Astyanax mexicanus: one gene and its partners. The protein of the gene in region 1 interacts with the protein of each later gene in a pairwise test. Links are inferred from orthologs where the notes say so. Each region holds a gene or a part of one and is shown in the gene's direction. Other genes may lie near its edges. The genes, in order: trim23, arhgef3, pitx1 and atpaf2.

What was found.
Region 2: the proteins of trim23 (region 1) and arhgef3 interact in binary tests that used the Homo sapiens proteins (3 or more experiments, as listed by UniProt). The link is inferred for Astyanax mexicanus from reciprocal best matches to the Homo sapiens genes TRIM23 and ARHGEF3.
Region 3: the proteins of trim23 (region 1) and pitx1 interact in binary tests that used the Homo sapiens proteins (3 or more experiments, as listed by UniProt). The link is inferred for Astyanax mexicanus from reciprocal best matches to the Homo sapiens genes TRIM23 and PITX1.
Region 4: the proteins of trim23 (region 1) and atpaf2 interact in binary tests that used the Homo sapiens proteins (3 or more experiments, as listed by UniProt). The two-hybrid records come from large-scale screens. The link is inferred for Astyanax mexicanus from reciprocal best matches to the Homo sapiens genes TRIM23 and ATPAF2.

What each region holds. Positions count from the first base shown.
Region 1 is NC_064427.1:22,848,503-22,856,326, reverse strand, and holds the start of trim23 (E3 ubiquitin-protein ligase TRIM23), read left to right. Parts: upstream 1-4,802; 5' UTR 4,803-4,827; coding exon 4,828-4,917; intron 4,918-6,391; coding exon 6,392-6,554; intron 6,555-6,835; coding exon 6,836-6,957; intron 6,958-7,230; coding exon 7,231-7,509; intron 7,510-7,824. Other genes in the region: trappc13 (trafficking protein particle complex subunit 13), read right to left, coding at 568-667, 1,941-2,009, 3,211-3,295.
Region 2 is NC_064431.1:3,304,061-3,311,756, reverse strand, and holds the start of arhgef3 (rho guanine nucleotide exchange factor 3), read left to right. Parts: upstream 1-4,689; 5' UTR 4,690-4,926; coding exon 4,927-4,961; intron 4,962-7,696. Other genes in the region: il17rd (interleukin-17 receptor D), read left to right, coding at 1,368-1,486. UniProt on the Homo sapiens protein: Acts as a guanine nucleotide exchange factor (GEF) for RhoA and RhoB GTPases.
Region 3 is NC_064424.1:34,450,950-34,458,449, forward strand, and holds the start of pitx1 (pituitary homeobox 1), read left to right. Parts: upstream 1-4,500; 5' UTR 4,501-4,710; intron 4,711-7,500. UniProt on the Homo sapiens protein: Sequence-specific transcription factor that binds gene promoters and activates their transcription. May play a role in the development of anterior structures, and in particular, the brain and facies and in specifying the identity or structure of hindlimb.
Region 4 is NC_064422.1:24,662,350-24,670,353, forward strand, and holds the start of atpaf2 (ATP synthase mitochondrial F1 complex assembly factor 2), read left to right. Parts: upstream 1-4,994; 5' UTR 4,995-5,231; coding exon 5,232-5,367; intron 5,368-5,537; coding exon 5,538-5,582; intron 5,583-6,793; coding exon 6,794-6,942; intron 6,943-7,037; coding exon 7,038-7,135; intron 7,136-7,277; coding exon 7,278-7,358; intron 7,359-7,458; coding exon 7,459-7,571; intron 7,572-7,834; coding exon 7,835-7,950; intron 7,951-8,004. UniProt on the Homo sapiens protein: Plays a role in the assembly of the F1 component of the mitochondrial ATP synthase (ATPase).

The sequences.
Region 1 (7,824 bases):
TGTAATGCACAAAAAAGGTTTGTAAACACATTTCATGTAACAATGTGTCCTGCAAATCATCAGGACATGTGTTTCTTTTTATTCATAATAATTATTGCGGCGAGGGATTGTGTACACCATTTGGACAAAATATTGGGAAACCTGCTCACTCACGGTAAATCAGGAGATTTATTAAGAAGGTTCATCTGTTTTTGTCCCTATAAGCCATTGAGGATTTTCTAGAGTTTTAAGCATTTTTGTGAGAATAAAATGCCTGCTGTATTAGAAGGAAAACATGGTGACACTCCTGTTCCTTACTAGTGTTGCATAATGTGCCCCTTATAATCCGGTCCACCTTAGGTATGAAAATAGACCAGAAAACAGACGTTTATTGATAGTGCACCTTATAGTCCGGGGGCCTTATAGTGCGAAAAATACGGTAATCAAAATTATAGACAGAAAAAATAAACATTTTAGTGTTCAAATGTTCAAATTTAAAAAGAAGTTGTACATTTCACTTTTGAGCAATAAACCAATCATCTTCACTTTAATATAATGTCTAAAACAATAAACGGTAAAACCTTTTACCCAAAATTCTGTGGTAGTGTCAGCATCTCCCCGAGCATCAAAGTCTCCGCCCCTTTAATAGTAGATGGATCTTCCCTCATGAGTCGACTGAACAGATCACCTGAAGACAAATGGAGGTTAAGTTAAATATGATCTGGAGTCACAGCAATACACTCACAACAGAGTCCAAATCTTTATCTGATTTATGATTCAGAACTGTGACCTAAGAAGGCCAGAACCTGAGCCTGATTTATAGCAGTGGAAAAGATACAGCTCTTACATTCAGAGAATTTCATGTCTGATCAGCGGCCAACCCTGCGGAGCTGTGCCCAGCGAGTGGCAGGCTGACATAGTTAAACTGTATAGTATGGCAGAGTCATCTGATACCAAGTCAAAGGCAAGGCCTGGACAAATTACGACTTTTACAGGTTACAGTATACGTTTAGCAGAAGTCTGCAATGACTAAATTAAAGAAAACAGGAGAAGGCAGAGAATGAGACAAGGCTGGCATCTACACCACTCCATTCACTTTATCTTTCTGCTCTCAGGTTCTCCTCATTCATCTTGATTAATAGTGGAATATGCTCCACTCTCATTTTGCCCCCTCATATAAATATAGGGCCTACGAAGAAGTGTCGTGATGACATATGGCTCTGGAGCGGTGCCGTTAATGGCTGAATATTGTGTTTCGGAGGTGCTGGACTGTGGCAAGAGGGAAAACAAACATTATAAATTCTTGTTGGGTCTGCAGGTTATATTCTGGGCTACAGTCATGCCACAGATTTCATTCCAATTTCGCTAACAGGCAATAAAAGTAGTTAAGAGTGGGTGTCAAATATAAAAAGATAAATATGTCAGACCTCCTAACTGTTATGAAATCACTTAATGAAATCTTAATTTGTGGAGATAGTGGCTCCTTCTGCTTGTCTTCATTGTCTTCATTATTTTGTTTCATTAATAATATTAATCTCACCTGAGTGTATATTATATATATTATATTACACAATATTGACCTGCTTTTGTTGGAGTAATTGTCTCTACTGTTAAGGGAAGGCCAGAATTGCTCCACAGCTTAATGCTAGGTGCCAATAAGATCATTTTTATCTGCTTCAGAGAGTCCTATTCTATTGGTAATCCTTCACAACACAGACTAGACAAGCTGTGTTTGTGCATTTGCACATTTGTGTCACTAATGGGTGCAACTTTATTAATTTATTAATTAATTCAAGGGTTAGCTAATCTGCCTCAGTTGTGCCTATATTAGCATTAAAGTCCCTGGCTCTTTAATGCAAGGGATTTTAAGAGAACACTTTAATTCTAATGGAAAAGTGTGAGGACAATAAAATAGTTTAAATGAACCAAACAATAGAGTTATTGTTGTTTCTTTTGTTTACCTGGAAGGTCTCTGTCTTCACACGTCACAGGCATATTAGTGAACAGTGTCGGTTTTGTCAGTCGCATCACTAGTAAAAAGAAAAATGCACATATTAATAGTAATAATGAGCACCTATGTACTGATGTTGACTTTGTAAGGTATATTCATATAGGAGCACTGTAGCTCTATTATAACAGACTGTAGTAAATATGTTTCTCTGCATACTTTAATTACTATCCTTCTTTTACCCTGTACTGTCAGGACCCCACACTGCAGTTACACTGATATATGGTGGTGATACAAATGGATCAGACACAGCAGCAGTGCTGCTGTAGTTTGTAAACTACAATATGTGGGCAGTGTCCTCTAAGAACTGACAAAGGACTAGAAGATAATCAACAGAGCTTCTGTCTCTGACTTAACTTTATCTACAAGGTGGAGAATCTTGACACTGTAGGAGTGTCTAATACAATGGAGGACAGTGAGTGTTCAAAACACTGTGTTTAAAAACTCCAGTGTTTGATCCACTCATACATCAGCCCTATACGAGCTGTTCTGTGGTGGTCCTGTGGGTTCCTTACTAGTAAACAACAGGGTGAACGAATGGAGGTGAACAAAGTGGACCGATTTGGCCAGTAGAGCTGATACAATGGACAGAACGTGTAAACATATGGGTTTAATGTAATGGCCATTTACAGTACATATTTGTATTAATTGTTTTAAGTAAATATAAGTAAAAATGATAAGTAAAATTAAAACATAAATAAAAACAGGTCATTTGCTTCTTAAAGTGCCTAAATGAAACTATTCTCAATGAAAAGCACATTTAAAAGTATCGATATACAACACATCCCTCTTAAAAAGCTTTTCTCTATTGTTTCCTTAAAAACACAGTAAACGCCACCTTATTCAGACTTTAATACTCATGAATATGCTTCATATTATTGTACTATACAGTATTACTATACAGTATCTACAGTTGTGTTTAAAAACTTCCCTGCTGACATCACAATTAGGCGTTAGCTTCTTGTACAAATTCTCCAATCCACCTTAAATAGTCCAGAGGTTACACACTGGTGCATGCAAGACCCTGCTCTGACCCGAATACAAATACTGCAGATTTAAGGTGGACCGGGCAGTTAGAAAACCAGGCCGGACTCTCAGCGCTTTCCACACTAAAGCTGTGGTTCTGAGCAGACCGGTGCTGCGAATTTTAAAGCAGCAGCTGGAGATGAGCCTTAAGATGCAGTCGGTGAGATAATGGAGCAGACAGAGAGCGGAATCTGTACCTTTTAGAGCCAAAAGATGCTCCTGTTTTGCCTGATTCACATCCATTTTGTTTGATAGTAAACCGGACTGACGTTTCCCCTGCATCAGCTGACGACGGAGCGCAGATAGGGACAAAACGCGTTTTACATTAAAGCAGCACAGGATGTTTTTATCTAGCGATAATTTCAGAAAGACATTGCTACAATTTCTTATGTAATATCATATTTGAGTAGTATTGTAAAGTGTATACCGTGGAGAAAATTGTGGTCTTTAACTTTAGAATATTTACTTTCCAAAAACGTGAGAGAAATTGAACTGAAATTAATACATAAAAATACCCCCCTGAATCTTTGATATTGAAAGTTTGATATTGAAATTAACATGCTCTTTTTTGTAAGAGGGCTTCGTTTTGGCAATGTATATACAGCAGAAAGTTTTGTTCTGAACTATTACAAATTCTGAGGATTTTTATTTTCTTTTACTTGTATTTACCTCTGAGAAATCCATTAGTGATAAGTTTTTTTATGATCAAACATTATTCCTTGTTTTTTAAGTTTGGTGAGTATATAAATATATTACTAAACATGGGGACTAAACCCCTTAACATTTGTTGATCTTTGTTGCCTCTGGACATACATTTTACATATGCTTATGTTAAAAGTTTGTATTGACATAATGAAGAGAAACATGCAAAATAATGTCTATAAAATATATATTATCTAAAAAAATATATCGAAAAAAGTTAAAGAATATATAAAAGAGACGACCTATTTACAAATGTGCACATATCACTATTAGACAAATAGAAATAATGTATCATAATACCACGAGAATACTAAATAAACGTGCATATATTTGTCATAAGGTCACCCAAAACAATGTGAAACACTGGTGAAGAGCATGACAAGACACATGAAAGCCATAATTAATAATTCGTGTTATTCCACCAAATATTGATTTCTGAACTCTTCTTGAGTTGAAACATCAGTATTGTTGTTTCTAAATAAATATGAACTTGTTCTATTTCTGAAACACTGCATCCTTTTCATTACGTTTATCTTTATTTTATTTTGACTTTCATTTTCTGCAAATAAATGCTCTTAATAACCATATTTTTATTTGGAATTTGGGAGAAACGTTGTCGGCAGTTTATAGATTAAAACAACAATTCATTCATTTTACTCAATATATACCTATAAATAGTAAAATCAGAAAAGTGACCAGTCCCAGCATCCTAGCTTCACATATGTTCCATGAAAGAGCATTAACTTATATAAATTGTTTTTTTTTTTAAACAAAACACTATTAATAGTGCATATACTGTGTATAAATCATCAGAATTACAAAAAAGTGTAATTTTTAAGCCGCAGCTACAATAAAACCTATGGAAACAGCTGAAACCTTACTGTGGATTCGTCCATTGCTTAAATAGGGGTTTAAACGCCGGCTGTAGCACCGGTTTTATAGACAATTTCAAACCTTACAACATTGTTTGCGCAATTATTTTACCATGTAAAATATTAATATACTATTTAACACGTTGTAAGCATATTTTATTGAGTTTATTGTTTCTGCTGTTATTTGCTCGTCCTCTGACTCGACCACCCCGGTTTTGTCATGGATGGTCGCGTCCGAGGATGGCCGCCGCTGTAAATAAGCAAGGAGCCGCAGCACCGATGGAGCCTTGTGTCCGGCACGTAAGGGCCACAACAGGCAATACGGTGAAGGTACAGAAGTTTATGTTAGATTTAAACTAAAGTGCAGTGATTTAGGGAGAGTGTTTTTGTGTATTTTTGTATTTTTTTTGTTTCTGCATTCGTGGTTGCAAAAAAATGGATAATTCAGGGCCAGAAAACCATAATCCACCCCAGGATTTTGCTCCAACTGTATGGGCTACTCTTCTGAACGCGGCTGCAGCAGTGCCAACGAGGCGGTTGGATTGAAATCCTGGCCTGGATTTTTGCTAACAAGTGGAATGGATTCCCCAATGTCTAGCAGATACCTAGATTAGCTAAGCTAAACCCAGTAAAATATCACAACACTACGTTTTATCCCCTGAAATTCTGTGAAACAGTGCAATATATAGCTGCACAAATGTAATTTACGCGTAATTAACAGGGTACAGTCTCTGAAAAATTGGTAGTTATTGCAAAATGCCAGCTAATATCAAGCTAGCTAGCTTTCTGAGCTAACACTACCTATCTGTGTAGGTTAACTAGAAGCCGCAAACAAACAATTGGTGCCCTCAAAAAGGATGTTAATTAGTTAACTAGGTTAGCTTGTTAAAATGTGTTCCAGCATAAATAATAATATGTGGTAATATTTCGGTGCTATTCATTTTTACATGACCTTTTATATAATGACTTGGGTATAATGACTTATCTATTGTTTTTTACAGCAACTATGTGTCCTAAAACGATTTAAATAGAGTATATTGAAAAATAATATTAAGTACCACTTAAAATTATAAATTTAATTTTACCTAATTGAAAACCTCTGGAATATAATAAAGAGGAAGATGTATGATCACAAGCCATCAAACCAAGCTAAACTGCTTGACTTTTTGCACCAGTAGTGGCAAAAAGTTATCCAAAAGCAGTGTGTAAGACTGGTGGAGGAGAACATGCCAAGATGCATGAAAACTGTGATTAAACCATGGTTATTCCACCAAATATTGATTTTTGAACTTTTAAACTTGATGAATATGAACTCGTTTTCTTTGCATTCTTTGAGGTTCTCATTTTCTGCCAATAAATGCTCTAAATGACAATATTTTATTTGGAAGAATTTGGGAGAAATGTTGTCCATAATTTATAGAATAAACAACAATGTTCATTTCACTTAACATATACCCATAAACAGCAAAAACAAAGAAACTGATTTAGAAACTGAAGTGGTCTCTTTTTTTTCCAGAGCTGTAGTTGGTTATTTAGGTAAACAGTATGTAAAGTGGTATCAAACTCTTCTTTTAACCTCTTCTGAGGGAAGGGGTGAAATTTATTTAAATTTAAATTTGTGGTGAAATGACTAGAAAAGGTGACATTATGTAAAAATAATAATAATAACTTAAAGCCTAAGAACAAGATCATAATAATCATTTTCACTTCAGCTATTAATGGCTGTGTGTGTTATCCCATGAAAACATATAGTAAAATATGTACATAAATGTAGTTTGACTTGTGAATACTTGCTGCTCCTCAGGTTTTGGAGTGTGGAGTCTGTGAAGACGTATTTTCACTGCAAGGAGACAAGGTGCCTCGGCTACTGCTGTGCGGTCACACTGTTTGCCATGACTGCCTGACCCGCCTGCCTCTCCATGGCAGGGCTGTGCGGTGTCCATTTGACAGGCAGGCCACTGAGCTGGGTGAGTTTAAACTGCTGTTATGCATTTTTAGATATGATTTGCTTTGTTTGACCGTTGGTAGCATTGACTGATTGATTTCAGACTGATATCAGCATTTAATGCAGGATAAAATATTAATAGAGTGGTTGATTATCATTGCCAATGTTTAGATGCTCATTAAGTTAACCATTTCAGGTAAAATTGGTTAATTTTAAAGCTTAGTAGGATAACTATACTAGGGCAATAAGATAAATAGTATTTTTAATGCAAAACAAAACCTGTTTCCTTTTTTTCGCGTTCAGGGGACTCGGGTGTCTGGGGCCTGAAGAAGAACTTTGCACTGCTAGAACTTCTTGAACGGCTTCAGAACGGTGCCTCAAACCAGTCAGGGATGTCGGAGGACGCACTGCGAGAGATGGGAGAGGTTGGGATCATATGTTTCTATACATATACATATAGTTCATTTTAAAAAATGTAGTTAAATTTAATTTAAAAGTTACTTCATTTCAGTAATTCAGTTCAAAATGTGAAACTCAAATACATAACTAAATTATATAGAAGTTTTACACACAAACTGATCTATTTTAAGTGTTTCTTTATTTTATTGTTGATGATTATGGTTTACAGCCAATGAAAACCCAAAAATCAGTGTCTTAGTATGTTTACATTAACATACTTCCATCTTGTTGCCCTGCAGTGCATCATACGCTGTGATGAGGACGAAAGCCACACTGCCTCAATGTACTGCACGGTGTGCGCCACCCATTTATGCGCCGAGTGCTCCCAGCTCACACACTCCACCCGCACACTGGCCAAGCACCGCCGCGTTCCTCTGGCAGATAAGCCTCACGAGAAGACCCTGTGCCCTCAGCACCAGGTGCACGCCATCGAGTTTGTCTGCTTGGAGGACGGCTGCCAGCCAGGCCCGCTTATGTGCTGCGTCTGCAAGGAGTATGGCAAGCATCAAGGACATAAGGTACTGAGGCCAGTATGATAATTGCACAGTTTGCCCTTGAAACTCTGGCAGATGTCTGTGATGAACAGCCTGTGAGAAATTTACACCGATCAGCCGTAACAGGGAAGGTAAAGGGAATAACGCTGTTGATCTGGTTCCAGTGGCAGCGGTCAAGTGGTGGGATCTACAAATTAGTAAGCGAGTGTCAGGAACAGTCAGTTCCTGATGTTGATGTTTTGGAAACCAGGATAGTAATCTTAGCCAATATGAGCAGAACCATTTTAGTTCCAAAAGAGCTCCAAAGACGTATAACTGCTGAACTTGAGATGTTTTTAA
Region 2 (7,696 bases), on another chromosome or scaffold:
TTTAAAATAAGAATACCTTAATAAAGGGTTTATAAATGGTTTACAATTAGTTTATTAATGGTTACTAATTAGGTTGTAAATGCCTTAAAAATCATTAATAATCAGTTATAACACATATGTAGAAAAGGCAACAATGACCTCTTGTTTGCCAAATAGTGAACCCACAGCCATCTATATTGTTGCCCTTTCTACGTATGTGTTATAACTGATTATTAATGATTTTAAGGCATTTACAACCTAATTAGTCACCATTAATAAACTAATTGTAAACCATTTATAAACCCTTTATAAAGGTAGTCTTATTTTAAAGTGGTACCGATTTGTCCTTTATAATTGAAAGTGGTGCTCTTTGGGAGTTGGGAGGGGAGGGGATGGCATATATACATATATATATAAAGAGTTCAGAAATCAATATTTGGTTTAATAACCCTGGTTTTTAAATAGAGTTTTTATGCATCTTGGCATCATGTACTCCTCCACCAGTTAGGGATGTGCCATATCGTATCATATGCAGTAATATCGCCAAAGTTGTTGAATATCGTGAATGATATTATACCCTGAAATATGGTACCATAATGATCACATCAGAGTGCTTTTTTTCTCTTTTTACTCTTTTTATTAAAAGATAAAAAATTCACACTGTTTTCATTTCCTATTATATATCTACTGGAGACTATAGATTATATCTGTCCAGTATCATTTATTTTACTTTAATCCTGGATATATGGAGATATTTGGAGGAGTGCATTATTATTATTAGTATCATGACATTCTGGATCAATGACTTCTGTTACAAAAATCTGATACAATTCTTATTATTCATATTTGTTTATGTCTCAGTTAGGGGTGTGTGCCATATCATATCGCATGCCATAATAAAATGTATGTTTTTTTACTTTGTAGCAGTAGCGAGTTTCGTTGTCACAGAAATACAATGAAATATTGTGATATTATTTTAGGCCCATTTTAGGCCCATATCGCCCACCCCTTCCACCAGTCTTACACACTGCTTTTGGATAACTGCTTTTATTAATTAGCTGTGTCTGCCTTTTTGCCGTACTGTTTGCTTGGTTGTTGTGTGTATATTAAGTAGTGACCTTGGTTTATTGCTGAATTTTAGCGTCTTCTTCAATTATATATGGCATTAAGTTGTGCGGATCTTTGAATTTCATTATAAGCAGAATTAATTCTAATTCTAATACATTTTCTAGCACAACTTTCTGTCTTAATGTGCATGTCTTGTGCATGAATTAGGTTTTAGTTTATGACCCAAGCCAGAAACTTTACACTTTTAAAATTGACACTTTTTTTTATTTCTTGTCTTTCTTTTTCTTTTCTTCTTTCTTTTCTTCTTGTTGTGTTTTTAGGTGATGAGGAGCCCCCTGCTGTCAGCTCTCTACACTGCACCCCCACCATCTGCAAAGCCGAGCTCCACCACCACAATGCTGAGCAGATGGAAGGACTAATAGAAGCAGCGTCAAACTAGTGGCCTTTATCTGGACTTGCATCGCCACTTTACTGCTCTACGTTTCTATTCGCCAACAAACCCCTCGCAGTACATCCTACAAAAACATCCATCCACATCCGAGACCTCCAGGTTCTCCTCAGGGGAGACGCTGGTTGACTGAGACTTTGATGAGACTTTGATGAGACTTTGATGAGACTTTGGTGAGACTTTGGTGAGACTTTGGTGAGACTTTGGTGAGAAAGCGACTGCTGAAGAGAGGATGCAGCGAGGGGAAGCTATTTAACCAAAGCGTCTGTGCTGTTTTTAAGCACGGCCTTCTTTCTCGTAGTGTTAGCACTAAAGCGTTACGACAGTTAGCATAGCACAAAACAACCATTTTATCCAATCCATCCATTAACCAAGTGCTGTTCACCACTTCCTCCAATGGTCGGACTCTGTGGCTCGTTGGAATCTATGACATCGTGCTGTACGCTGGTTTACGGTTTATTATGTTGAATATGGAAGTATGGAAATCATTGAGCTTTTAAAAAAAATTATATTACTGTTTTATTTATTGGTTTTTAACTTTTCTCAACGATGGTTTCACATTTGGTTCTTCATGGATGGTTCACATTACAGACATTAATGTTATTTCTGCCCTATTTTTTTGTTGTATTCTTCAGTCAGTGCCAACAAATATGCAAAATATGCAAAATACCCTTTTTCCTCCTTTTTTTACAGTAACGTTGTACTAAGGACTCACTTCAAGAATGTGTTTAATCTCGTGGATTGAATATTGAATGAGCGATGAATTACAATTAATACGTAAATCACATGAATTACATGAACAAAGGGAAGAGCAGGAAACTGATTGACAGTTTTGTCAATATGTTAAAATTCTACTTTTTCTAGTTTTTGTGTTTTTTGTACAGTTTTGTTTTTTAATATTAGAGATTTCTACATTACATATGAACTTTGTACTGTTTTATAGTACTCTAATGTAGGAACTATGTGATAATAAACTAAAATGTTTATGACCAACTGCTTATGTTTTTGTTTGTCATTTTTTGGGCCTAAATAGTACTGTGTATTGGAAGAATGTTCGATTTTTATTATTTTTATTATAAGATTTAATTTACATTACCAGTATGAAACCATTATACATTGACTTCCTTTGTATTATTTAGATTAAGGTTAGGGTACCAGTGCATTAAAAAAAATTCTCATTGAAAAGCTACTTTATTTCAGTAATTCAGTTAAAAATGTGAAACTCATATATTATATGGATGTATTAAACACAGAGTGATCTATTCGGGTGTTTATTTCCTTGTTGATGATTATGGCTTACAGCCAGTGAAAACTCAAAAATCAGAAAATGTTTTAGAATTTTTAATATTATATATATTTATATATATAATATATAAAATATATATATAGACCAATTGATACTTTTGGCAAGTCCTGCTGGAAAATGAAATCCGCATCTCTATAAAAGTTGTCAGCAGAGGTAAACAGTGCTGAAAACTTGATTTTGAAATGAAATGTAAAATGTACTGATGATCAGTGATGGTTTGGAGAGACATGTCTGTCATCTGCTGGTGTTGATCCACTGTGTTTTATTATCAAGTACAAAGTCAGTGCTGTTTTGCTTTCCCACAAAATCTTACAGCACTGGATAGGACATTGTTCAATGCTTGGTCTGCTTTAATACATTAATTATAGTTTAATAAGTAAGATTACACTTCCAGTTGAGGAACACTGAAGAATTGACCTACATTAGGACCCTGTTTAACACATAGTTTACTGACAGATTACATATGCAGTCATTTCCACTGGGTGGCAGCAGAGGTTCATTAAATTTCATTAAGATCTTTTTTGTTAAGTTGTAATCATCAAGCAGCCACCTGCTTACAATGGCACGTCAAAGGGTTTGATCTACATATTGGGCAGCAAGTGAACGGTCAGTTCTTAAACTTGGGAAAGATAGAATCTAATGGTTTTAATGTTTTGGCTGATCAGTGTATATTTACTCCTCATACTTGCATTGGTTCCTGTAACATAGTTTGTGTTAAAATCATGTGAGTATTTTATTGTCTATAAAACAGCTATGTGATGACCTCATCATGAAAACATAGGAAATTCAAGGGCGTGGCTTATAGACCTTATGTAAATATAATATACATACATTTTTATACACATTGACCTACACTGTGCATACATTACTGCACACATCTGAAATATATATATATATATATATATATATATATATATATATATATATATATATATATATATATATATATATATTTGGACACACCTTATATCTCTTACTATATTATAGTGAGGTGCTGAACAATAGTTCCACATGTGTCCCTTAATTGTTTTTATTTCTTTAATATTAATCTACAATGTAGAAAATAAATTACATTGAGAACTAAAAAAAAAAAAAAAACATTGAGCGTAAAGGTGTCTTTAAACTATTGACTAGAACTGGATATACAAAACAATGTGTATATAAACTACTAAGTATACAGATTACAGTTATTTTCCTATTCCTAATTCCTAATTTAGATATTGGACTTGATTAATTAATTAATTCATTTATTTATGTATGTAATTATTTACTTAAGAATATAACTTTGTTTTTTATGATTAAAGTTGAGTGAAAAAAAGCTAAAAAAGCAAAAAAAAAGGCCCTCTTACAGATGTAACTAACTTAATCTACATTATTGTGTTGTATATAGTATAGAATATATGTAGTATATATATATATATATATATATATATATATATATATATATATATATATATATATATATATATATTCTATGTAATAGACGTTCGGCTTATTTTATAATTCTATATAAATATAGACATTTAACCTAATAAATTCATTCATTCATTCATTTATTTATTTATTTATTTATGTATGTAATTACTTAATTATTTACTATATAATTATTTACTATGTAATTATAATTTGTATAAAATTATAATTTTATACAAAAGTAAGGGTAAATTTTATGCGCTTTTTAAGAATATATTTTCTTATTTTACATATTACAGTATAATATTAAACAGACTACAAAGGGCGTGGCTTACGGAGCTGCTATATTTTTTTAGGCATGGGCGGGGCTTACTGCATCAGCGAGGCGTGGCTGAACGGTTCTGTTAGCGCATGTGAGGGGCGTGGCCTCTGGCTTTGTCCCCGCCCTCAATGTAGGCTGTGTGAATGGAGCAGTGGAGGAGTCTGACACTGAACTAAAGAAACACTAAAGAAAGGAATAATAAAACTTCAGTAAAACAAACCGGGGATTATAATAATAAAATTAATAATTTACCGCTGCTGCTCGCGCTGTGAAACCGGTGGACTGACTCCCAGCCCTGAACTTTCCTCTTTAATGAAGAGCTGAACTGGAAATCCTGTTTTTAAGGGTGTTTTTCTCTGTTTGAGCTGGAAGGTCGACAGTTCTGGTTCCATGCAAACTGCTGTCGGAAGTAATGAAGTGCCCGGGTAAGATATACACCATTTATTTATTTATATATATTTATTTATATACTAGTGCATCTAAAAAAACTATAGAAAAAATAGAATAGCATTGGAAAGTTACTTTATTTCAGTAATTCAGTTCAAAATGTGAAACGCATTATATAGATGTATTAAACACAGAGTGATCTATTTTAAGCGTTTTTTTATTTTATTGTTGATGATTATGGATTGCAGCCAATAAAAACCCAAAAATCAGTGTGCCAAGTCCTGCTGGAAAATGAAATCCATCACTGACCATCAGTAAATTTTACATTTCATTTAAAGTAAATCAAGGGATCAGAGTCTGGAGGAAGAGTGGAGAGACACACAGTCCAAACTGCTCGAGGTCTAGTGTGAAGTTTCCACCAATCAGTGATGGTTTGGAGTCCAAAGTCAGTGCAGTGTTTTTCCAGTGTTTTTATAGAGATGTGGATTTCATTTTCCAGCAGGACTTGGCACACTGCCCACACTGCCAAAAGTACCAATTGGTCTTATATAATATTCTAATTTTCTGAGACACTGATTTCTTGGGTTTTCATTGGCTGTAAGCCATAAATAATCATCAACAATAAAATAATTAAACACTTAAAATAGATCACTCTGTGTTTAATACATCTGTATAATATATGAGTTTCACTTTTTTTAACTGTATTACTGAAATAAACTAACCTTTCAATGATAGTCAAATGTATTTTTGAGATGCCCCCAAGTACACAGCAGGTATCATTTTAACAACTGAGCTGGTTTCTGTATCTGCTGATACCACAAAGTAGGTTCTTTGGATCGTGTTACACTAAAAGAACCACTTGATATTTGGGTGTTAACAAGCTGGATCACATGTTGGTCCATCTGAGGATTGTTTCTGGTATAGTTTCAGTCCTGTCACTCTCAGTCTGCCTGCCACTGACTCTAGCTCTCGCTCTCTCAAAAAAAACGAAAAACTCCATTTCCCAAGATGGACCAGTGCTCATCCCTCCGGATGTGCCAGATCACGTGACATATCGGTGTTCTGGCTCGCCGTGCTTCTGAGATTACTCACACTCACTGTACTCGTAGTATAAATAGCCCCTGTTTTCAGTTTTCACTCTATCCTCACCTGATGTTGAATCTATTTCATAGCTGTTCTACCTCACATTTTTTTTGTTATTTAAGCTACTCTTTTTCCTTTTTTTCGGTAGTTTTCAGTATTGACCTATTTTTGTATTTTTGTCATTTTTTGCCCTGTTTTGATTATCCTGTGTATGACCTCATTGCCTGATCACTCTGGTATGTCTGGTATGTTTATGCTGCCATTTAGTTATTGACTATGCCTGTCCCTGACTATTCTTATAAGCCTGACCCCTTATTTAATTAATTGTATGTTTGGTGTTCCCGCTTGTCTGTTCTGTGTTTGGCACCCGTGAGAGACGGTATATCATAAATCGTAATTATTTTTTTAGTGACGTAAAAATGATCTTCTTCTGGGACAATATATCGGATCGTGCAAATATTTATAAATGTTCGATAAAATAATGGACACAATCTAAATCATCAGCTTTTCTCTTGTCTGAGAAGAGAGTGTGTTCTCTACATTAAGGAACTGTTATGCTGTTTTTACGCCTGCACTGTGCTGCTGTTATGTTCAGGTCAGATGTTTGGGCTTTAAGTCATGGCCTTTATGAGGCAAACATAGCATCTCGGTGAGGAATGCTGCTGTGTGTGAACTGCTGTACTGATGAGAGCTCAGCTCAGGGGCTCAGCGAAGAAAAGACTTGTGATGTTTCAGTTCCACCATCATCTTTCGAAGCTGTGCTGATAGCAGGTTTTGTTGCAGGCATGTCTCTGCTTCCTCTGGTTCCTCAGTGTGTTTTGGTTTCAGGCTGCTGAAGCTCTTTAAGCTCCTTCGGGCTGCTCTCTATGATTAGGCTGCATCTGCGACGGTTCAGCGCAGCAGCTGTAACCACAGATACATGAAATAAAATGACCCTCCCTTATATTTAGATATGACAGCAGATGTCTCGATGCTCTGCTCCGGTTCAAACAGCAGATTGGTGTCTGTAGATATGAGCCTCTAAGCTTTGAGGACAGATGAGGGATCGGGGACGGCTATGGGGGCCGGTTGTTCACCTGTTGCTTTATCAGCAGGTGCTGTGACCCGGCCTGTGCAACAACATAGCGGCATAGAGTCGCATGTCTGTACAAATGTTCTGCTGTAGAGAATGAAGATTTAAGCCAAACATCATTAAGCCAGAACATAGCAGTTTTTGTGGCTGAGTAGTTTTTGTTAGTGTATTTTTATTTTTAATTATTGTTTTTTCATTTTTAAGCATGCACTAAATATCGTTTTGCATATTTTTCACTTTTTTTTCACAATTTTCCTACAACATCATCATTTTGTGCAAAATCAGGGTCTGGTTTTATTAAATACTGTATTTATACTAAGTAAAACTTAATTAATTATACTCACTTTGTTGCAGGAGTATATTGTTAAACTTAAATTTAAATTAATTGTAAAATTAATTAGCTTTATCATATTGCTGCTTTTCATTCATACTCATCCATGCTGCTACAGAAAACTAGCACTTATGCACTTTTGCACTTTTACTGGATTTCATATTGCTGCTATTTTCCTACTTCCTGTTTACTTCCTGTTTCTGTATATGTATTTATGTTATCTAGAAAACTTGCACTAATGCACTTTTCCACTTTTACTGGATTTCATATTGCTGCTATTTCCTACT
Region 3 (7,500 bases), on another chromosome or scaffold:
CACACTGCTAGGATGCTGGCTAACCTGACAGTGACACACACTCACCTCACTCTGTTTCTTGGTTTGTCCAGCTAGAACAAGAATTGGTTCAGTATGAATTTTTACAGAGTAGCAGAGTTTGTGCAGTACATCATGCAGTGTCTTCAGGGACAATGGAATCATGATTTAGTGCATCGCTCTATACAACTGGCCTAAAATAAAAAGAAGGAAAGAAAGAGGGAAAAAGAGAGTAACATGAGAACACACCTGGAGCCAGAGAGGATTTTGAGATTCTAACAGAGCCCAGAGGAAAGGTGCTTGTGTAACCTTTGACCCCCAAACAGCCCTAATTCACCCTGAGAGCCTGGTTCTGCACACTGTTCTCCCTCTATTCAGTGTAAACTGTGGGACTGTTAGTGAGGAGCTACACTCTTAAATATAAAGGTGGTACAGATGGTTCTTTAAATAGTGGCATAGAAAAAACACTATTGGTTCCATTAAAAAAAATCTAACGTCACCAAACTCTTGCTGCTGTGCTGGGATGCTGTGTCTAGCATCCCAGCTAGAACCCTTCCAAGCTGTTGTGTCTGTTAGCATCACAGTCCAACTCTGTTAGCATTGCAACTAACCTGCTCCAAACTTTCATGCTTTCATATATCAAGATAATGTTAGATAACTTGATGCACAAAAGGTTGGAGGCCTTTATTAGTGCAGTAATGTTTCAATGTTCATGTTTCATCGTACACTCTGCCATCTTGCATACACAGTGCTGTATGTGGGCGGTCACTGTCTGGTCTCTTGGGGAGGGGCTAGGTTTCCAGAGAACATAGAGACACACACAGTGGGAGAGGCTTCATTCCGTTCTTAGGACAGCTTCACTCCACTACATTTTAAATAAAAATGTTGCTATATTAATATTTAAAAAGTCAGATTTTGTACTTTTAACATAGCAGAAGCCGTGTAGATGACTTCTCACCATTATCTGTTCTTACAAAAAAACACATTCTGTTTGACATACGTCGTCCCACACACACATATTCATTCTGACTCCAGTAAAGTGTGTGTGGTGTTTGACTGTCGGGTGTTGACCATAAACGGCGGGCTGGGGAGGATCCGCCCCGATGTTAATGATGACCCTGTTACCTCTACACTTATCTCCTGAGGCATTAGTCAACATTAGTCTAACTCTAAGTGGTTAATTATAGCTGGCCAAAATAAGTCAGTCATGGTTGTGTTACAGTCTATAACACAAATTCCACAGTTATTGATTCACCTTTTAAACCCAGTGTATAATTATGCAAATATATAAATAAAAAAAATAAAATGATACAACACAGGCTTGATACAACTTATGAAGTCATGCTCCAGTCCATAGTGAAACACAAGGCACCCTAAGGAGATGCTTGGCCAGATAGATCTTATATATTTGAAACGTTTATCACTTTTTCTTTCTCCCAAAAAAAAAACAAATCACTAGACATCCATCATCCTACAGTTTTGCCACTATCAGGGCCATAATAAATAATGGATTTATTTGCTGGATGAGGAACTCGCAGTTGAAACCAAGTTGCTGTCCGCAAAAGTACTGAGCAGTGACTAAAGGGTTCAACTACAACCCCAATCTTGATCACAGCTTTAATCCCAAAATTGCCAACTTTAACACAAACTTCAACTCAATTTCCAACTTCAACCCTGATTCTAGTTGTAACCCCAACTCCAGCCACAAACATAGTCCTATACCCAATCCCATCTTTGGTCCCAGCACTAATGCCAAATCCAACCCAGTCCTAATCCCATTCCCAAATCCCAACTCCAGCTCCAATCCTAATCATAAATTTATCCAGCTCTAATTCCTACCCTATGCCTTTCCTCATACTAATTTAGGCCTAGCTGCAATCTGCTAACTACAATCCCAATCTCATCCTTAATGCTAACTTTAATCCCAGTATTAGTCCACACCTTAATTCCATTTGCCATACCCACCCTTACCCCAGCTCTAATTTTTTATTTTTCCATTCTATTACATGCAGGTTTTAATCTTCCCCAATTCAAATCCAACCCCAAACCTAATTCCACTCCTAATCCCAATTTTTCACAGCTCAAAAACCATACCCCATCTCACCTGTAAATATGTTCCCATCTCTAACATCTAACCCCAATCACAAACCCTCTAACACAGTACCAACTCCAGTCCTGAACTGAACTCCAATACCAGTCCAAACCCGAACTCCCAGCCCAGCTCCAAACAAACCCTACTGTATCTGACTTACAGAACCCTGTGTGTGTATCTGTGGTTCTGCGCTGTTCGTGTAGCAGAAGAAGTGGGTCACAGCGCGTTTAGAATATACACATGAGGGTGTTTAAATTTAAGTTTGACTGCAGATTGATCGGAACCCTTCAGCCGCTCATGTCCGTAGCCGCGCTGTGGTTTATAATAATGCTGGAAAATTAACCGATCAGACGATCACGGCAACTGTCACTAAAAACTGCCATAACAGGGTAGACTTCAAACTAAAACAGGTAACATTAATAAAATACTTTTCATATTTATAAATTAAAATAGTGATAAAATATAAATCTATATGTAACACTTTATAAAGTAACTAAAGGTTTAAACAATATTTAACTACACAGTGTAAATATTTAACAGTAAACAGTTATTATACGGCACAAAAAACATTTGTAGATCCTATTTATTTTCAAGAGTATAATTTAACAGTAAACCCTGCATTTAAAGTTCAATCATATAAAGCAATAATAATAATAATAATAATAATAATAATAATAATAATAATAATAATAATAATAATAATAATAATAATAATAATACACTAGTATCCCCATCATAAATAAGAAACAAGAAACTCTAAATACATCACATTAGTACATAAAACAAATTGAATTCATACAATAATATCAACTATTTCAAACAGAAAATAATAATGATTAAAATAATAGGAAAGTGCCCTGCGGGATAATGTAAAGTTATCTGTATAGTTAGGGAGGTGTAATAGGAATGTCTGTAGATTTAAGGAAGGGTAGGAGGGGGTTGCTGTTTATTGGCTTCTTCTTAATCCCGCTATTAAGCGCGAGCTTCTTAAAGGGGCTGATTGGATTTAAGATCAGTATCAAACACTGTGCTCATAACATACAGCCCTATCCGACCATGACCACCCCCCCACCACTAACCAATAATAATAATAACAATAATAATAATAATAATAATAATAATAATAATAATAATAATAATAATAATAATAATAATAATAATAATAGCTGTTCCGTTGGGAATAAATGTGCTCAGTATGTTTATTATTTAAGATGAATCTGTCTTTATTATGGTGTGTGTTATAAGATTGATATTGGTTTAAAATTCAGCTTCGTGTTTTAGAACAGCGCGCGCGGCTGCGAATTTAGCTCTACAACAGTATTAAATATAAATAAATGAAATATAAAAATGCTTGATTAATATGTATTAATAAGAACTGAACCGTAACTAAACAATTTTAAATGAAATTGTATTAACATGTATTTAAACGGACTAGGAAAGAATTTCTACTTTACAGTCCCTCTGTTCTGAGGCACTCCAGTTTTATCAGTTTGAATACAGCCTACTCAAAACGGAGCGAAATGTCTACATCACCCCCCCTCAGCACCACCAGCTATAGGCTTAGTTCATCTAGAATCCCACATAAACGCCAACCCTAACATTAACATCAACACTAGCGCCATCAATTAACATTAACTTGCAAAACCAAAATCTGCACTAGCTCCACCTATAAAATCAAACCAACACCAACAGACCACCAAAGCAAACCCTAACATCAACAATAGCTTTATCAAAATTAACACCAGCATCTAAAAAACACATTTAACATTAAAACTAACATCAAATCCAACACTAACACCATCTATAAAATACCAGAGCAATATCATTTATAGTAACATAAATAGCCAATACAATACGCTACCATTAACCATAATATTATCAACGTATTATTCAAATGTTAACCATAAGCACAAATTTTAGCACCAAACCAGCATCAGCTTCAACACCAAAGCCAAAACTAACACCATGTATATAGCTTCAATACTAAAACCAACAGAATAAACAATTTTATAAAAAGCCAATGCACTCAACTTTCAACACTTAAACCACCAACATGCTACCACCACATCCAAAACCAATAGTGATGCCATCATCACTTAAACGTCAGTCTCAACCCAGATATTAATCAGATCTTCTTAAGTCTACTCTTGGGCTATACAGCATTTTAATTTAGATTTCTATAAAATAAAAATATAACCTACGACTTGAGCTTAATTCCTGTCTGGGAAACAGACCCTTAAAGTTTCCCTCAGCCACAAACCTAAACTCTAGTACCTAAACCCTAAGACATACACCCTAAACACCAACCCCTAGACCCTAACTATCTCTCCGCACTGGTTGCTCGGGACAGCTTTCCTTTCCGCTCAGACGCAGGAGTGACGTCACGTGCACGCTGGAGTAGCCGCTTAGAGAAAAGCCCAGAGAGGCGCGCGCAGCAACCAAAGCGAACAGAACGCGTGCGCTGCGGGAGATTTACACATCTATACACACATAACACACCGGCTTTTCACAGCATCACACACACGCACCTTATACATACACTTCTGCACTTTCCGGAGCTCTTAGCGCGTGCGGAAGCGCGAGCTGCATGGGGACAGTCTAACCGGCGGAAGGATCGCGCGGTGAGTGACTTCTGCTTTTTTCCGCGTTTCACGAGCCTTAACCAGAGCAGGGCACGAACTCCAGTCTGTACAGCGCGATGTGTTCGGTGTCTGTGTGTGTGATTATGTTTTGGCACCCTCGCTGTGGAATAGCTTGTCTTTTTTCAGAACCGATTTTACCTGCTGTTGCTGTTCCCTGCGCTGTCCTAAAATTGCGCGAGCTCGATAATAATTCATGCTAAAATTAATTGCAAAACCGACTGATTTGCATCAAATGAAAACAACAGAATTACATAAGGAGATATTTGTACACATTCTGGCAAGGGCGTGCATGGGTGTTCATGAGTGTTTGTGTGTTTTATAGCGAGCCACATACTGGAGCTTTATTAGCCTCATAAAAGAACGCGGCTCTGCAGATACAGATAAACGTGAAGATTCCTTGAGCAGGTTTTTTGTTTTCGATGCTTTTAATTTTCTTGCAAATATGCACACAAAATATTACACCCCAAATGGTGTTCTTCTATGGTATCGCTGAAAAATCTTTTGTAACATCTTTTTCAAACAGCAATAACAAAGGAAACCAATTCAAACAGCAATAACAAAATCAAGCACAAGAAAAAAACATGCAAAAAAGTTTATTGTATAATTCAAACTATATTTAAATAAAAAAAACTTCAATATTTCAATATTTCATTAAATACATATAAACATATATAGTATCGTTGACAGAACAATTTTATCAGCTTTATTTGAATTATGTTAGGAATTTAATTTAAATAGCAATTTAAATACCACTAACAAAATCGCGCGTGAGAAAGAAGTGTGCAAAAATAGATCCGCGAGGCTTCGGTGGTGCAGCATTGATGGTAGTTCAAAGTGAGTGTAGAGAGGTGTGTGTTCAGGAGTGTGTGTGACAGTACTGGTAAAAGCCTTTATTCATTTATCTCGTTTTGTCAGAGAGCTTGCTTTGAGAATGAGCAGCAGGCCACAAGTAGTGAAGCTGCATGTGCGCGCGTTTCTAGACTAAAATGAGTTGAATATAAAAGTTCAAATAATAAGCAAAGAATAAAAACAGCAGATTAAAAGGGCTTAGGTACTGGGGATTCTTTTTTAACGCCATCGTAGCTTTCTGGCGAAGAGTATGACATACAGAAGTGTTTACATTTTTTAAAAAGTGGATGCAAATATATATATTTTTTATCTCTTTTTCATTGGACACGTCTTTTTTTAAATTAAATGTTCTTTATTTATGAAAGAACCCTGTGTAGCACCTTTTTGTTTGTAAGAGTGTGTGCCACAGTAAACCAATACCACCAAAGTAAACATAACCTAAACACAGAGAAGCATTTTTAAAAGCTAAAAACTTACCTAAAAACAGCACACATCACTGCTACAAAGGTGAAAACACTGTGGAAAGTGTAAATCGATATAAAGTGGTGCTGAAGCGAGCGTAGCTAAAGTTGGTACTGAATCAAAAATCTAAAAAACTCGGACAGTTCTCAAACTCTCGGAGATTTTTTATTAAAAATGAAACGCTAAACTAATTATACTCTTGAAAATAAAGGATCTACAAATGGTTATTTGTGCCTTAGAATTACTTATAATAACTCTACAATCCTGTAGAGGAACTTCCGTATGCTTAGTTCTTATTTCATCTTTCTAATACTAACTATACATTAATTCTATATGTAACATAGTCATTTGTTTAATTGAACAGTGGTTATCCAAGTGTTCGATTCAAATGACAAAATAATAATAATAATAATAATAATAATAATAATAATAATAATAATAATAATAATAATAATAATAATAATAAAGGCCTGAAGGTGTGTTTAAATCTTAGATTTTCAAACGTAAAATCGTGAAAAAGTATATAGTAAGAAATATCCCATAAGAAAAGTTTCAAATATACTAAATAATAATAATAATAATAATAATAATAATAATAATAATAATAATAATAATAATAATAACAATAATAATAAAATTGTCAGGAAGGATTAAATTGTGTTTGACTCTATTAAATACAGTGATACATCACTGGTTTTATTTAAAGAGCCCTTCAGCTGATCTATACACACTCAAACAGCACTCAGACACGGCAGGGTGAAGGTGAGGCTCATGATGAAGGTTCTGGGGGGGAGCTGGAGTTGGGGTTTTGGATTAGGTTATGGTTGAGAGCACGGTCTATCATACTGCCGTTATCAAATATTAGAATGTACACAATAAAATACAACTATTCCACACGGTTGAAAGGACTGCTTCTGGTCCTACCGGTCAGCAGTCCAGACTAAATGGTGGTGTTTTGCGGTAAAAGAGCTGTAGTTCAGACACACTCTCTCTCTCTATCTCTCTTTCTCTCTCTCTCTCTCTCTCTCTCTCTCTCTCTCTTTCTCTCTCTCTCTCTCTCTCTCTCTCTCTCTCTCTCTCTCTCACACACAGACACACACACACTCTAGTTATGTAGTGTCTCTCTTTCAGTGCAGTGTTGCCGCTCCGGTTTATAATTCAGTGCGGTTATAAAACACCAGCCCAAACACGGCGTTAAGCTAAAGCCTGTTGACTAAGGCCTAAAAGTCTGTGGTAGTACGGGAACTAAACCTATATATAAATCAAGTTTAACGTTTAAGTTAAATTATTAAAAACGAATTGATTTTATCAAATCTATCATGCACTTAATTGAGCGGTTTTCCAGACAGGCATTTAGTCTATTCTAGGACGAAACAGCATTTTGAATAGAGATTTCCTTTAAAAGGAAAATGCAGTCTACGACTATGCCTAATCCTTGGAAAGTGCCCCTAAATGTAA
Region 4 (8,004 bases), on another chromosome or scaffold:
ATGTTAAATGAAACTATAACACTGGACAGAATAACGCTACAATAAAACAATCAAATTATTGGCTGGGTTTTCACACTATTATTAAGGACACCCTGCAGAAAAAAACATTATTAAGCTGATTGTGTTTGACCAATAGGATAAAACTGAATAACCAGCATGAACAAGCCTGACCACAACTAAACGCAACACACACTAAATGCGATTTCTAAAATCTCACTTTTTTATTACCTAAAATGCAGTTTTTGTGTAGATGCCAGGACAAAATGTATACAAAATGTGTTTTTAATATATGGATTCATGCGGATGGGGTCTTAGTCTTAAACTGGAATTTTCAGCAGGCTAATTGTAGATTTTAAAAAAATATGTTGGTGTGTTTCATTTCTAGGAAGAACACATTAGATCAGCATAATAAAAAAACGATGGCAAAATCACTGTACTGGTGCACTATCACACTTTCTCCTCATTTATACACATGGATTACTGATATGCTTGTGTGATGTGGCTGTACTAAACTTTGACCTATGAATGTACCGTTAGCCATTTCTAACAGATCACCGCCTTACAAAAAAGTACAACTTGGCAGTTTCCTGTTAATGAAGTCAATATGGAGTCAGTTACCATGTTTATGATGTCTTTAACTGTGTTTGTTCACTGGCAAGTCATCAACAAATTATGGTCATATTGATTCTGTTGAGCAACCAGTTTATTTAATTGGCAGATTCTGAAATGTGTGGATTGAGCAACACAGCCATTAAAGGAAGAGAAGGATTTCAGAGAGCAGTAAATGCAGAAGTCAATACTGAGTATTTTATAGCAGTTAAAGGAAAAATATCTACTAAATCAGAAACTAAAATACAAACAGATTTCTGCTCTGTGATGGACAATTCAAAGAAAAGCATACTGGCTGAAAAACTGGTGTTAAAAGGGTGCCAGAACTTAAACTTAGCATGTTTCATTAGTGTCTGATTACACATGTTGATCGTTTTATGAGTTGGTAAAGGAAATAAATACACATATTGGTCACTTTAAAAAGTTGTGCTGGCTGAAACACTCCTTATAACTTTAGTGTGAATGGGTGGGCATAACTGTAGGCTAAACAAGCAGAATTATTACAAGTATGTGTGATTACAGACACAATTATTTAAAAATTAGTAATTTCTCTGTTTGTGTGAACATATATAAATGGAGATAAATTTATACTATAAAAAAAACTACATACATACTTCAATTATAAGATTTCAGTACAAGAAAGTGCCATAACACTGCTGTCTCTTCATTAAAAACTGCACAGTGTAATATATAATACATAATGAGAGTAGCACTGGAATAATCACAAAATTGGTTACAATGTTTTATTTTTATAGTGATTAAACAAAGATATAATACTCAATAAAATCTCTCATACATTTAAATTCAAATCTGTGTAGTTTTGTCTTGTGGACTGTGGACTTCTTTTCAATGTCATTAGACAGCTCAGCACACTTATGCTATCCATACATTACTTAACTCTCTGAAAAGACTTTTAACAGACTAAAGTCTGACACCCCCTCACATCTAAAGAGAAGTCACAGACTGTTTAGTCACAGACTCGTCACAGGCTAAGATTTTGCAGGGGGATTACTGGGGATCACTAATTGCAAGACTGCAACTAGATTCTTTCTAAGATTATTTCCCATCATGCTTCTGGTGGAGTTTACATACAATACATATTAGAAATTAAATTACAAATAATGTGTATATCAATCCTGTGATTTATTAGAGACTTTCAACGTTTGCCCCCATCAACAGTTAATTTTTATTAGTTCTGGATATTTTTTTACTATAATAAATTTTGTGTTTAACAACTGCCGATAAGTTTATTTTCCCCATTTTTTTCGACAAACTTGTATAGCAAAGGATCACAGTTTCACGGCTATACATTTGGCTTTGTTTAAGATAGAATTAATGCAATAAAGAACATCATTCTTGAAAAATGTGTATTTATTGAACTTGTTTGTATCACAAATAACACTGCACAAAAATAACTGTGCAAAATAAAATAACTTTAAACATAATGACTTTAAAGTGCTGCCTGTGTTTAAAATACACTATATATTAAAGTAAAAACCATATAAGGCATATTAATTGTAAAATGTGTTCTTATTCAAATTGTTTCTAAATAGTCACAAAGAATATTCTTCCTTTGCAGTTTCCCGTAGCTCTCCTATTGGTTGTTGACATTGTTAAAGTCACTATTTGCATGAGCCAAGTCTCCAGACTTACGATAATATTAAAAATATTAAACCACCAGACGCGAGCATGACTGACTAAAACTTTCAATCCTAACCACACTGAATGATTGAGATGACGCGACCGTGACTCGACTGCAGCACGACTCTCGTGATTTTATCTAAGCAACAGATGGCTGCAGGAATACAAAGGATGAAACTTATTCCCTTGAAGACAGTACTAGCACTGAGACAGTTGGGCCCCTCATATGGGCCCCACATATGGATGTCAGTGATGGGCCCCATCAGGGCACGAGATGCAACCATGAGGGGTTTAAGCATGGCCTTATCTGAGTTGTACACTGAAAAATTTAGGTAGTGCGGTAATTAAAATTAGTTTCCTTATAGCTATGTACACTATATGTTAATGCAATATAACTGTAACGAGCAAGTGACTGCTCAAACGGGCCTGTGTGTGTGTAAGAGGTCAACCGGCCCTGGTCTCTTGAGGACACTCAAGAGTCTTTTTAATTAACAGATCATCAGGCCAATAATAGGGAGGCACCAGCCTCCGAGGTCTCGCTTCAGAAGTTAACAATTTTTCCTTGTATGCTGGCCAATAGCTCGTTAGCAAGATAGATAAGAGCGAACGAGGCAGGTGAGGTCTTCTGAGGACGCTCAAGCTTGCTTTTAATAAACAGATCCTGACTTGACATAATGACGAAACCGAAGGGGTTAAGTAAGTGGAGCCTGAAGCCCACCTGTGTCCCAGCCCACTGAGAATGGTCAACCATTTTTTTTATGCATAAAACCTAATGTTTTTAACTCTTTAAATCAGAAGACTTCCGGTTCTGATCTGCTTTGTAAGATTGAAACTACCTGCTAAATAAAGCTGTCTTCTCCTTTCTTTTAAAATTGATTCTGTCTGATTTTTAGTTTTGGTTTTATTTTTCAACAAAGTTGTACTTTTAGAAGAACCTAGACAATTTCAACAAGATGTGGTAACCATCCCAAGAGACGTATTTAGACACGTCAGTAGGCTGTAAACTCAGCAGGGCTCCAGTAAATAAATATACAGTATATGTATCAGTTCTGCATTAAGAACAATGGACGATAATGTGAGTCACCTAGTATGGGAACACATTGTTGTTTGTAGATCAGTTATAACACAGATATATTAAACAGTTTAACAAACAAAATATTTTGCCGATTTGCACAAATTCCTTGGACCTAATATTTTGTGTGAGCATAGAAGATCACTTTGTTTTATACTAGTCTGCAGGACGTCTGGAGGGGAGTGTGAGCATATGTACGTATGTTTGGAAAGTTGTCTTTTAATGGAACAGGAAACAGCTGACAAGCTGAAAAATTATGTCATGAGACCAGATGATGAAACTTATAGGAAAATCTATCCATATTTATAAGAACTAGCGTTTCCTCTGAAGAGATTATTTTTATAGGTTTTCCACTGAAGTATCTACTGACTTGAATGACTGGTTTCCAAAAACCTAAAGAATGAAGTGTGGTAAATCTTGTGGCAGACATGCATCCTTATTTGTGGCTACTGTTGCAAAATGAGTGAATCATTTAAAGTGATAGCTTTCTTGAGGTTTATTCACTCTCACCTTTTTTTCTGGACATGGGAGTGCTTGCTTCAGTGAGTTTGGTTTGGTATGTTCAGAGAAGAATAAAAGCTGTTTTTGAACCCAGCCTTGGTCCAGAGCACTGATCTTGGACTGGGGTTCGCTTCAGGTTGACACTAGCATGTTCCACTCCAGGTATGGGAGTTATCTGCTCCTGGGGCTGCGTGATTGGTTCATTTTGTTATGTAACTGCTTCCACTTATCGCATTACTTCCTTCTCCATCAGTATGTGATAATTAAATCACTTTGTTATGACAGGAGCTAGGGAATTTTCTTTAGCTCCTGCTTGCTGAAATGCTGCACATCCCAAAGGCACTGTTTGATGCTGCTTGACTTTTTGTATTCAAGGCAATTTTTTTTTTTTTTCAAAAAAGCATGCACACAGTGAAGTGATGCATGGAATTGTGTGCTTCTGATGGAATTCTTGTGCATAGACCAGCGATAATGAGCTCTTCCCACAAAACAGGCACAGAATAGGTACTGGGTGTAGAGCCGATGAATCACTAATAAACTGAACGAGTCAGTAGCAGTGTAAAGCACCCACTCAGTCAGGTTTCTGTTTAGCTTTCTATTTGCGTGTGTATGAAACGAAAGCGAAGACAGCACTTTTCTAAAAAAAAATTCTAAGAAAAATTACTGACTTAGAGCCAAAACACACTGTTAGCATGATAGCATGCTAATAGACTGTAAGCCTAGGACTCAAACGCCAAGCCAATGTTTATACAGTTTTTTTTTTTGCAGACTCTGTTAAGATCTGTTTTATAGCTAAAATCTTTAATATCTTATGATTATTTTATTTATTTATTTATTTATTTATTTACCTTTTCCCCAATATATGTTCGAGTAGAGTTGTAAGGGTGGGCACGATTATGTTGTATTGTTGGGGGAAATTCCCTGTCTAATTCTTCTTCTTCTATAAAATATTAATAAATATATATTTTAAAATCTTAGAATTGTGGTTGACTACATCTGTTGCTTTATTTGAATTCAAAAACGTCTCAGAAAAGTCAGTAAAAAGTGCGGGTAGTATTTGAGCGGACGCGTACCATAAAAATGAGCGGTGTTTTGGCGTCCCCTGCTGGTATTTTTTTTTCTACAAGAGTTTCATCAGAGCAGAGACTACGCTTTGGGACTTTTATTTTGAAAATAAAGCTTTTCACGAAAGTCAACGTGAGAGGAAGGTCAGCGTGGGAGAAGTTGTATTTGCTGGCTGAATAGACTTTATACTGTGGGATCGTTTTGTTTTCATTTTAATCAGATTTTCTGCGCTATAGTGTCTAAATGGATGATTCATTCATGAGCGACTTAAGCTAAGCTAACTTGCTAACGTCTTCAGAACGTTTACACAGCAGCGACTCGTTTCCACACGTTGAGATTCGCGATGTTACCGGGTTTATGTCGGTTTCACGGGCTGGTCAGCCGGGCTCTTGTGCCTCTTGCTGGTCGGCAGGTGGAGTTAAAGTTATTGGGATGTTCAGCAAACGTGCAGAGAGCGAGATACGCCACTCCTGCGACAGGTGAGCGAATTTCTGCTTATAGACATCATATACATAAGATATCTATGGGCTCTGCTCTGCACTGTATTATTATTATTATACTGATCTCTGTTTTATTATAGTGTTCTCTTGTCACAGTGTTTTAGCTGCATTTTAAATGCCTAAAAGCGTCTAATAATGTATTTTCGCAGAGCGTAAGAAGTTTTATCGGGACGTCACGATCTCTCAAGGTGAAGGTAAGCATCACTCCACAGTATTGTACTGTATTACAGCTGAACAGCAGTCAGTCACGCAGGCCTTGCATTGATCTAATATCTGGGCTGGGTGTTGCTCAGCTTGCTTGATTTTGACATATGTAATATATATTTATATTTTTAATATATATATTTATTCCATAACCAACTGTGATGTGTGTGTGTGTGTGTGGTCAGTGTCCTGTTGGAACACACAGTTGTATCACAGCTTTATCAGTCTTACTGAGAGTTTAAGGGTATGTTTTAGGCAGCAATCTACCAGATTTCATCGTGCTACCACCACTATGCTTAACAGTAGTGTTACGCTTAGCAGTTTCATTTTCTAAACGTTTCAAGCTAAATTTTCGAAAATAGAAAATTGGCTGTAAAACTTAATTATGTCAGTTTTCTATTTGGTATAGTGAAAAGGAATTGGGGTTTCATTCAAGTTTTCTAGTTTTTCATTTTAGCATTTTGCAATCAGAATAAAAAAAATAATTAAAAAAGGGAAACTTCTCTCGATTTTCTTATTTTTCCACTTTTGTGTCTCAAATATGAAGCTTACATTTGTTACAAGATGCCAAAGTTGATTTAAAAAGTGTTTTTTTTTCTTTTCTGAAATTCCAATCGTGAGGGGCAGAGGTGAAAAATAATAAAACTATACTACACTAAATATTAAGTAATGATTTTTTTTACATTCATTTTTTTCATATAACCTCAACTGGTAAGAAAATTGAACTGATAAACATTACACTGACCTTTGAGGTTGCTCTACTCCTTCAGATTTTTTGTCTCATCTGACCCTAAAACTTCTCTCCAGGAGGCTTTTTCTGATCAACTGCAAACTTTAGATGATTTCTGATTTTGAGCATATCTTTAACAAAAGCTTTTTAATCCATTGTGATATAAAAATGTCTGTATGATAATAAAACTGGTGTTTTAGGAGCTTCCATGACAGGCCTGTGATGTTTTACAGCATGTAATATGTACAGTTGTTTGAACTGAGGATCTTGGAATCAATTGATCACATCAAGTTGATTAAATATGGAATTCAGTATTAATGTGCTGACACAACATAAATTTAGTTTGTCCCTGCCAAACACCACTAGTTAATTTGATTATATTTAGTAACTCATCGTGTAATTAAACAAAATTCATTAAAATGATATGAATATGATGTAAATGATGAATGTTTTCTTCCTTGTGATCTGCAGGAGGCCTTTATGAAATCAATCTAGACAGGAGAAAGCTGAAGACTCCAGGAGGGAAACTCTTCACTGTGCCAAATGAAGCCCTTGCTATCGCTGTTGCGACAGAGTGGGATGCTCAGAAGGACACGCTCAAGTTCTACACCATGCATCTAGTGAGTTACTTTAATTAAAGCTTAAAATGTCCGACTCTGGTGCTCTTTTGTTTGTGAAGTAGTTTATTTCAGTTGATGTTTAATGTTTTCTGTAGACCACTCTGTGCAACACAGCCCTCGATAACCCGACCCAGCGGGACAAAGACCAGATCATCTCTGCTGCACTGAAGTTTCTAGAGACAGATACAGTTTGGTATGCTAAACTTTTATTTGGAGGGTTATAAAATGTGCAAGGGCTGGTATTAATTGTTAAGCATTAACTTTGAAGATGGAAATGGATCTCTAGGAAACAATATTTTGAACGATTTTATCTGACCTTCCTGCATTCCTTTTAGTTACAGAGTAGAAGAACCTCCAGGACTTGTAGAACTTCAGAAAAATGAATGGGACCCTGTTCTGGAGTGGATTGAAAAGAGGTAAAATGTGAAAAAAACTGATAGTTATTTTTAATGATATAATAATCTTTGCATTACATTTTGCATTGTAACTGTGGCTGATCATTATTTATGTCTGTAGGTACAATGTTGTCATCGGTTCATCCTACAGCATAATGGGCCCCCAGATCCCAGAGGAGACAAAGGATACTTTTCGTCAGCATCTTAAATCTTATAACGTCTGGTCTCTGATTGGTACGGATGAGCATTGTTTTTTTTTTTTCCTCAGAATAGTGACGGGTATTATTTTTTTCTGCAAAAAGATATCTATTTGATATTTGTAATCTAGATTTAAATATATACATGCATTGTTTAACTGTAAGCAGAGTATCACACTTTTTTGCTTACGTACATTTTCAGAAATGAACAGGAGTGGAGTTATTTATATATTAATCTCTGTTCTGTAAATCTCACATTTGTCATTCCAAAAATTACTAAATGATTGAATATTTCTGCAGGGCTTGAGTATGTGATAAGTCAGCTGAAGTCTGTGGTTCTATCATTGGGGTTGATTGACAGACACCTAACAGTAGAGCAGGCAGTTCTACTGTCTCGCCTGGAGGAAGAATACCAGGTATGAAAAAATAAGCACCAATAAGCTATACATTTATAAATATAAATAATGTTT